Linked DNA regions of Saccharomyces cerevisiae S288C. The protein of the gene in region 2 binds, or shares a complex with, the protein of the main gene of each other region. Each region holds a gene or a part of one and is shown on either strand. Other genes may lie near its edges. The genes, in order: MRPL20, MRPL51 and MRPL50.

The links.
Region 1: MRPL51 (region 2) and MRPL20 share a complex: the UniProt entries of both Saccharomyces cerevisiae proteins name them as parts of the mitochondrial large ribosomal subunit.
Region 3: MRPL51 (region 2) and MRPL50 share a complex: the UniProt entries of both Saccharomyces cerevisiae proteins name them as parts of the mitochondrial large ribosomal subunit.

Annotation. Positions count from the first base shown.
Region 1 is NC_001143.9:598,576-601,828, forward strand, and holds MRPL20 (mitochondrial 54S ribosomal protein mL58 MRPL20), read right to left. Parts: upstream 1,107-3,253; coding exon 519-1,106; downstream 1-518. Other genes in the region: ribosome dissociation factor GTPase HBS1, read right to left, coding at 1-315; DEAH-box RNA helicase PRP16, read left to right, coding at 1,282-3,253. UniProt on the Saccharomyces cerevisiae protein: Component of the mitochondrial ribosome (mitoribosome), a dedicated translation machinery responsible for the synthesis of mitochondrial genome-encoded proteins, including at least some of the essential transmembrane subunits of the mitochondrial respiratory chain.
Region 2 is NC_001148.4:728,079-730,751, forward strand, and holds MRPL51 (mitochondrial 54S ribosomal protein mL43 MRPL51), read left to right. Parts: upstream 1-1,712; coding exon 1,713-2,135; downstream 2,136-2,673. Other genes in the region: LEC1 (Lec1p), read left to right, coding at 1-537; TMH18 (Tmh18p), read right to left, coding at 869-1,307, 1,404-1,450; YPR099C (uncharacterized protein), read right to left, coding at 1,679-2,035; SNT309 (Snt309p), read left to right, coding at 2,414-2,673. UniProt on the Saccharomyces cerevisiae protein: Component of the mitochondrial ribosome (mitoribosome), a dedicated translation machinery responsible for the synthesis of mitochondrial genome-encoded proteins, including at least some of the essential transmembrane subunits of the mitochondrial respiratory chain.
Region 3 is NC_001146.8:669,111-671,842, reverse strand, and holds MRPL50 (mitochondrial 54S ribosomal protein bL9m MRPL50), read left to right. Parts: upstream 1-1,649; coding exon 1,650-2,069; downstream 2,070-2,732. Other genes in the region: SNF12 (Snf12p), read right to left, coding at 1-1,425; YNR021W (uncharacterized protein), read right to left, coding at 2,252-2,732. UniProt on the Saccharomyces cerevisiae protein: Component of the mitochondrial ribosome (mitoribosome), a dedicated translation machinery responsible for the synthesis of mitochondrial genome-encoded proteins, including at least some of the essential transmembrane subunits of the mitochondrial respiratory chain.

The DNA.
Region 1 (3,253 bases), on a different chromosome or scaffold from region 2:
TGAGATGTTTGCCAGTTTTTGAGTAACATTCGCACTCCCATTAGCAGCAGCAATTGGCTTCTTTGGTGTCTTCTTCTTCTTCAAAGTTTTCTTCAATTCCGCCAGCGTGCTTTCCAAATCGAAATTGTTGTCAAACAAAGCTAGCTTAAGTGAAAGATTATCCCAGCCTTGGTAATCCTGTAACTGCGCCTTTAGAGTAGGAAATACCTCGTTCATTAGATCATATTCATCGTCATTCAAATAATCATCAAATTCACCTTCGTCGTGAAAGTCCGGCATGTCGTCTGCTCCATCGCTGTAGTCACTGTAAGCCATCTCGATAGTCAATAGTTGTCGAAGCAGAAGCCTTTGGGTGTCTCCAAGCTGTACTTAACTCTTTTTAAATTGCTTATTGGTTAGCTTTCATGTGGTATATTCAAGTCACATTAATGGGCGTCTCCGTGCATTGTGATCAATATATGAATACGAAGTACTTATAGAGTAGTATTTACACGATTGTTATTATATTTATATAGCATTCACGCCTGGTACCACAGGAGTTTTCTACGCTTACGGTCCTCTCTGGCTATACGCCTCTTCTCCTTCCAGCGTGATTGGATTTCTTGCAATCTACTTTCCATAATTTGTACATGTTGTTCACTAGGTTTCGAGACCATGGATACAAATAATGGCGAAATGCCATATTTTGCAGCCAAAAATTTGCGTGTATACTTTTGAGGATTGTCAAGACGTAACTTCCGGATCTCATCAATTTCTTGAGGTCCCAGATGATAGGTTTTGCCGTTCACTGTGCTCTTACCTACGAGAACATTTGGACACTGCTTCGCTTTAGTGCTTTGAACAGGCATGTCAAGCCCTCTACGAGGGTCACTGGCTGCCATAAAGCTACGTGGAATGGTCTCACTGTTAACAGATCCGGTTGCGATGGATTCTGATGGTTGATAGTACATTCCTGGAGCATCTCTGTGCTTTAAATACCCTTTATAGTTAGATGCGCTCTTAGTCTTGTTGTAAATCGTTGTCACTTGTGTTTTGGGAAATCCAAATTGCTTCCAGGCAGATCCAGCAGTGTGGAACGATCTGCAGCACACACCTCTGCCAATCATTCTTGTGCTATTTTACTTTGTCTTTAATTTTCCATTTTAACTTGTTGAAAGTATCTCTTTTTGCCCTCTTTTCTATTTTCTCAAATAATAAAAGCGGTGAAAGCTGAAAAATTCATGAGATGACTGCAGATGATAAAACACAAGAAGGCCCAAAGACAATACAAATACCTCTGGTATGGGTCATTCGGGGCGTGAGGAAAGGATAAAAGACATATTTAAGGAACTTACGTCAAAAGAACTAACGCCTGGGTTGCTTTTGACACTGCAGAAACTAGCGCAAAAGCCGAATACTAATCTAGAACAGTTTATTGCCAGCTGTAAAGCTTTGACGAAACTCAGCAGTAACAATCCAATCATTTTTAATGAACTTCTGGAGCTCCTCAAGAATAAATCTGAAGAGGACTCGACAGGCCCAAAGAAAATCGCCCCTTCTATAAATAAGAGAAAGAAATTTAAGATCCAGTTAGACCTTGACGATAATGAAGATGAGCTAGATTCTCCAGTTCAAAAAAAACCAGCACCTACACGGACGTTGTTCAAGAGAATAGATAAACTAAAGGCCAAACAGTTGAGGCAGTATTCGCCCACCGTGAAGGATCCTTCTCCAAATAGTGAACAGCAAACACAGAATGGTCATGCTGAAACGAAGGACTATGAACCGACTCGAAGCGAAGTAGTTGAGGAGGACAGAGAATGGTATGATAATGATGATGATTATGGAAATTTGGTGCCTGAACCTCTGTCTGAATTGCCTGAGGAAGCGAAACTACTACCTGTCATTAGGAATATCGACAACGATGATGCCTTACGAAATACCGTTCAATTATACCCCATACCACTCAAGCAAAGAATGGAATGGATCCCTCCTTTTTTATCAAAGTTTGCTCTTGAAAACAAAGTGCCCACTTCCATAATTATCGGGTCCATCTCTGAGACGTCCAGCCAAGTATCCGCTTTATCAATGGTGAATCCATTTAGGAATCCTGACAGTGAATTTTCTGCGAACGCCAAACGAGGTAGTAAGCTGGTTGCCTTGAGAAGGATAAACATGGAACATATTCAACAATCTCGAGACAACACCACTGTTTTGAACACTGCCATGGGGGAAGTACTAGGCTTGGAGAATAACAATAAAGCAAAAGATAAGAGCAACCAAAAGATTTGCGACGATACAGCTCTTTTCACGCCATCAAAAGATGACATTAAACATACTAAAGAGCAACTGCCTGTTTTCCGCTGCAGATCTCAATTGTTATCATTGATAAGAGAAAATCAAGTAGTGGTGATAATTGGTGAAACGGGCTCAGGTAAAACCACGCAACTTGCACAGTATTTATATGAAGAAGGATATGCCAACGATAGGGGGAAATCTATTGTTGTCACACAGCCGAGAAGAGTAGCAGCCATATCCGTTGCAAAAAGGGTTGCAATGGAAATGCAAGTTCCATTGGGTAAGGAAGTAGGCTATTCTATAAGGTTTGAAGATGTGACGGATTCTGAGTGTACAAAACTTAAGTTTGTAACGGATGGTATTCTACTCAGAGAGACCTTATTGGATGATACACTCGATAAATATTCGTGTGTTATTATTGATGAAGCTCATGAAAGGTCATTAAATACAGACATTTTACTAGGTTTTTTCAAGATTTTATTAGCACGTAGAAGAGATCTAAAACTCATAATCACTTCAGCAACAATGAATGCGAAGAAGTTCTCCGCATTTTTTGGTAATGCTCCTCAGTTCACAATTCCTGGAAGAACTTTCCCCGTACAGACCATATATACTTCCAACCCTGTTCAAGACTACGTAGAAGCTGCAGTTTCTCAGGCTGTGAAAATTCATTTAGCAAACGATTGTTCAAGCGGTGATATTCTCATTTTCATGACAGGTCAAGAAGATATTGAAACAACGTTCGACACTCTGCAAGAAAAGTTTTTGCAAGTATATTCTAAAAAGTTTGGTACCGCAAACTTTGAAGAGATCAATGATATTGAAATTTTACCAATCTACTCGGCTTTACCTGCAGATTTGCAATTCAAAATTTTTCAGGATCTACATGGCACTAAAAGGAAAATTATAATTGCGACAAATATTGCAGAGACTTCATTGACCATTAAAGGTATTAGATATGTCATTGATTGTGGTT
Region 2 (2,673 bases):
GATTCAGAGGGCATTTTTGAAGGTTTTATTACTTGGATTACTACGATAGTGAAATTTTTGCAAAAGAGTAAATTCGGAGGACCGAGTGAAAGGATCGACTTCAATAAGTTAATTTGTAGAGATGATATCGATATTGATGTCAAACTTTTGAAAGTTCAAGTTAATAATGTTCTTAATAAAAAGATTGGTGCGAGAAAAATCTATAAGAAGTTGTTAGATTTGAAGGTTAAACAAGGTACTAAACAAAATAACAAACACGCTGCTGGCATACTTCAAAAGAATTGGAGTGACATAAACTCCTTGGTTATGCCATCCAGCTCTGGATCTTTTGGACTTGGAGATGGTGATTTGGTGGATTTGGATCTCGATACAGGTGATTACGATTTTTTACATAAAGAGAATGAAGTTGAATTAGAAAAGCAATACAAAGATTTATTGAATCTTGTTGTTGATGAAAGTGAAATTGATAAATTGAGATCTCAAGTTTTCGCACAGGAATTAAAAAATTATTTAGAAGCTCAAATTGCTAAAAAGTAGGCCCTTTCTAGTATCTCCTTTATTCGTTTTTATTCGTTACGATTTTCCGGCTTAATAATATAGGATTGCTAGGTCTATATATAAGAAAAGCTTGTAGAAATAAAAAAATAGAAAAAACTTCAAGATAAATATTGTTCTCTTTTATTTTAAGATCCTACAAACAGCACAATTCCCCTTTTAGTTATTTTTAGCCAAGATCAGGATAGCAGAGAACTGAGTCCCTTATTCTTTAATTGAGGGTCAAAAAATTCCGATTGCGAACTTCATCTCCACCTTGGCAAAGGAATGACGAAAAAATGATCTTGCATATATATATTTACTTGTAAAATAATTATTTTGGAATTTTTCTTAACAAACCACCTGACAAACAAACACCGTACGCAAGCATCCCGCAAACATTAGAAAGATTGAACAAAAGACTCAATCCGTGCGACTTGCCAAATTCTTTACGTAATATAGCATCCTTTGCTTCCAATTCACTACCCGTGTATTTCTTCGCAATATTCTTTCTTTGTTCTTTAACTTTATGGGTCCAGGGCAACAACCAAAACAAATTGGTTAGCCCACTGACAGATGCAACCACCAAAGAAGATAATGGTCCTGTTGTCAAGGCAATTGGAGCGGTAAGGGCCAGGATGACAGGTGATGCCGCTTGCATTTGGAAAAAATACGGGAAGATCTTATTTTGCAAAGCAGAAAATTGGTCTTTTTCAAGAACTTTGAATGCGATTGGAGAAGCTACATAGGAATAAAACGTCGTTCCTCCAAATCTGAAAGATTAAGTTGGTACATAAAAGTTGTTAGTCAGTTATTCTCAATTAATCATAATTGTTCAAATTTTTTCTTGTGTCTTAATCTGTACATACACAAAGGAATAAAAAAGCAAATGAGCCGTAGTTTTGACTAAACACATTTTTCGTTGTTAAGTTTACTGGACTGTAAAGCGTAGTTTGATCTGCCTATATCATCAAACAACTCCATTTAACTCCCTTAAATAATACTATTCTTTTCTGTAAGTTTATCGCACTATACGTTACGGTGCTTTCCGTCTTTTTCGGATGAGGGATGCTCATAAGAATTACAACAAATCATAAGCCCTGAGATAAAAAAGATCAATCAATACGATTATCATAAACCATGACTAAGTAGATACACAGACACGAATATATGGAGAAATGGTTGTGAAAGCTATTGCACGAAATTCCATAGGTCGTAATGGAGTTGGAGCATTCGTGTTTCCATGCAGAAAGATTACTTTGCAATTCTGTAACTGGGGAGGGTCTTCGGAAGGCATGAGGAAATTTTTGACTTCAAAGAGATTAGATAAATGGGGCCAGGAGTTCCCATGGATACAGTTTGAAGTGATGAGGAAGTCTGGACATCCTTTGTTGAGGGCAGAATACACAAATGGGCGTGAAAAAGTTATTTGTGTGAGAAACTTGAACATTGACAATGTAGAAAACAAGCTAAAGCTATTGAAGGATTCTGATGGAGACATTTTACGCAGAAGAACAAAGAATGATAACGTGGAAAGCTTGAACAGTAGTGTGAGGGGTATATGGTCGCCTCTGCATGCTGCGAAAAGGCATAGAATTTAGCTTTAGTATATAAGAAAATTCTAGAAATAGAGAGAGATAATTATACTTGTATATATAATTTGGGGCAGATAAGACTCCTGATATTTAAGATTTAAAGTCAATTTTGCCATTGTTATATGATCATGTCCTGAAATATGACCTCTTGTATTTGGTTACCCGCTTTACACCCTGCAAATCACACTAGTCTAATAAATATGGAATAAGACTGAAACATATAAAAGATGTAACTTCTAGGATATCTGAAAGAGCAACCGTACGGTATTCAACGTTTAGATTTGATGGACGGCCTTAGCTTTGTTGATAAAGGGAAAATACCAGATGGTTACAAAAATGAAATAGATCAATTAGTAAAGAAGGAATTTGCGAATATAAAAAGAGAGCCTGTTCATCCCGAAATACGAGGTATACTTGCGAAGAGAAAGGGGGCCGATAATAGTGTTTCTACGCTTACAAATGCATTGTACACCGAATACTTGAAACAACGTAATAACAAAAAAAGGCGAACACCGGATTTTAATGACGACGATGATACTTTATT
Region 3 (2,732 bases), on a different chromosome or scaffold from region 2:
TTGTTCCAATTCCCTGGCATTTTCATTCAATTCAGCAGCCCCAATTTGACTTTCTCTTTGTGTATTATTGAATTTTAGAGCGTTGACATCAGGTACTTCAATATCAAGAACCAACTCACCATAAGTGGAAGCTTTATCAACGCGTACTGTGTAATCAATTTCAATTGGCTGTAATGGGAGCAGGTGAGTACTATTAATAAGGGACAGTAAATCCGTTAATTTCATTGTATCTGGAGAAGATTCTTTAAGACTGCTGGGTAATAAGGTAATAAGCTGAGTGTCTAATTTTACAATAGAAACTTGACTGGAGGCTGCATCAAGCATCTTACTAGTACTGGTGTTGCTATTGTGATTGTTCCTGTTGCCCATCAAATTTTCGAATGCAGACTCATCATTGGTAAGCAATTCATTTAAATGGATGTATTTATATATGGAAAATATTGCATCATGTGATGTACCGCTCTTCAATCCTATTATTGCGGTTAGTTGTGGAGAGTAGCTCATAAATGGCTCTTCTGGGGATGATTTTCGCAGGATGCTTATAGTGCATTCTACATTTTCAGACCCTACCCTCTTAATATCGAGACCATCGAAGTCTACAGGATTATTCGGGTCATACTGCCATTTCACTGATTCTAGTTTTGGAGTTGTAGAACTCATATCCTTTTTGGCAGTCTCCTCCCCCATCGTGGCATTATTTTGGTCGGTATTAGTCGTAGTAGAGTTGTCACCATTCGGCAGTGAAAATTGTAACGGTAAGTTTAAGTTCAATTTCTTATCACTGGGTCCTTCGGTGGCATTTTCTTCAGGGGCCGCATTAAATTTAGTCGATGGCACATTATCGTTTTCCTTATTTTTGAAGTCTACCACTATCGATTCTATGAATGAGCTAAATTTTTCTCTTGCTGGATCATTAGCTTGCACATTGTCCAATAATCGACCTTCGATTCTCATCGTCCAAGTGGCATTCTCCAGTGCCATAAGGTCAGCCTCATTGTTTGTGTCCATTTGCCAGGGTTGGTTTTCACTAACATTTGAAATGAAGATTCGGAGAAATTTTACATTTGGAAAATTTAAATGAGGATAAAGAAACTCTTGGGATAGCTTTGACCTCTCCCACTGCGCAACCATTCGCTTCATATGTAAGTTTCGCAGATGAATAAAATGATCTAATCTTTTCTCGGAATCCACCAGTTGTTGGAAAGAATACAGCTCAGGAATCAATTCGGCTAAATGGTCAGGGATAACCATATCTGATGGATGAGAATGTGGCACTGTTGGCGTAATTTGAGAAGCATTATTTGCTTTATCTTGGTTCACCGGATCCTTTTTCTTTGCATGAAAGAAATTTTTAGTATCAGGTGTGGCTGCTTTTGAACTCTTTCTAGAACCTTTTCCGTTGCTGGGTTTCATTACTTTGGACATGGTTCAATCCGTTAGATCTCTGTTTGACAGCTTTAGAGTTGTCTTATTTTGTTTTTGGTTTAATACATCCACGTTATTTTGTATTTTTTTTGTTTATTATTGCAAGTTTTTAGTTCATTTGTTCTTTCCGATGAAAAAGCAAACTCAAAGGGCAGTTAAGTTACGTTATACCGTAAGGAATATAAAAGGCTAACTAAATAACGAACGAAACAGGTCGACCAAAGATGCTACATTGCACCCAGGTGTGTCTGAGCGCTCTGACAAAGAGAACCCACAGGGTCAAGGTTCAAGTCCTGAAGGATTTCCCGCGATTTCAATTATATAAAGGACAAGTTGCAAATGTCAAACCATCTTTAATGAGAAACTATTTACATAACTTCAATGGTGCAAAATACATACTCAGCGAAGAACACGACATAAATACGGAACTGTTAAAACAATACCAAACACTTGAGGCAAAGCTAGAGGAAGACCATCAACAGCTCTCTAAACGCCATGAAACGGAAGTTCAAAAGAACATGGAGTTACGTAAAGAATCTGTTTTTGGCCACAAGAAAGAAGAGAAGCCAAAAGAGGAAAAGAAGGGATTATTGGATTCTGGGATTACTATCGAAGAGGTTAAGATCCCCGGTCTTGACATTTGATTGGTAAAGAGTATGTATTCAGATAGCGTACAATCTTGTATATAGGCAACATCGCAATTCAAAACACCACATACCAATTTACATACTTACTATTTAAATGTATGGATACATGGAAAACGTTCGTATACAAAAACTGAAGAGGTTCAGAAAATTATAAGGAGGAAAGAAGAACAAAGTGGTTCTTACTGAAATCTTGTTCTTTGCTTGTTTTTGAGACGTCTTTCTCTTTTCTCTTTCATTTTTTGATCTACCTTTTCTTGTTGACCAGAGGCCTTCAATTGACGTCTTTTGGCTTTTTCCAATTCTAATTTCTTCTCCTTTGCCAATTCCAATTCAGTTTCTTTCATAAACTTTTTGATCTTGTTCAGTTCTTGCTGACGCAAGTTGGTAGTTCTTTTCAAGATGTCGTTGGTAATGAATAAGTTTGGAGACTGTTGGACTAAATCTTGAGTGAACCCATCGTAGATTTCTACGACTAAGGAAATAATTTGGTTTAACAACTTCAATTCATTCTCATTTTGGGGAACAGCGCAACGAATGATAGCCTTTGGTTCAATTGAAGATTCCCATTCTTTATCATCGCGTGGCGGGTTGACAGGCAAATCGGTGAAACTTATATATTTCAAAAGATTACCAGCTTGGGACAAAACCTCATAGGGCTTG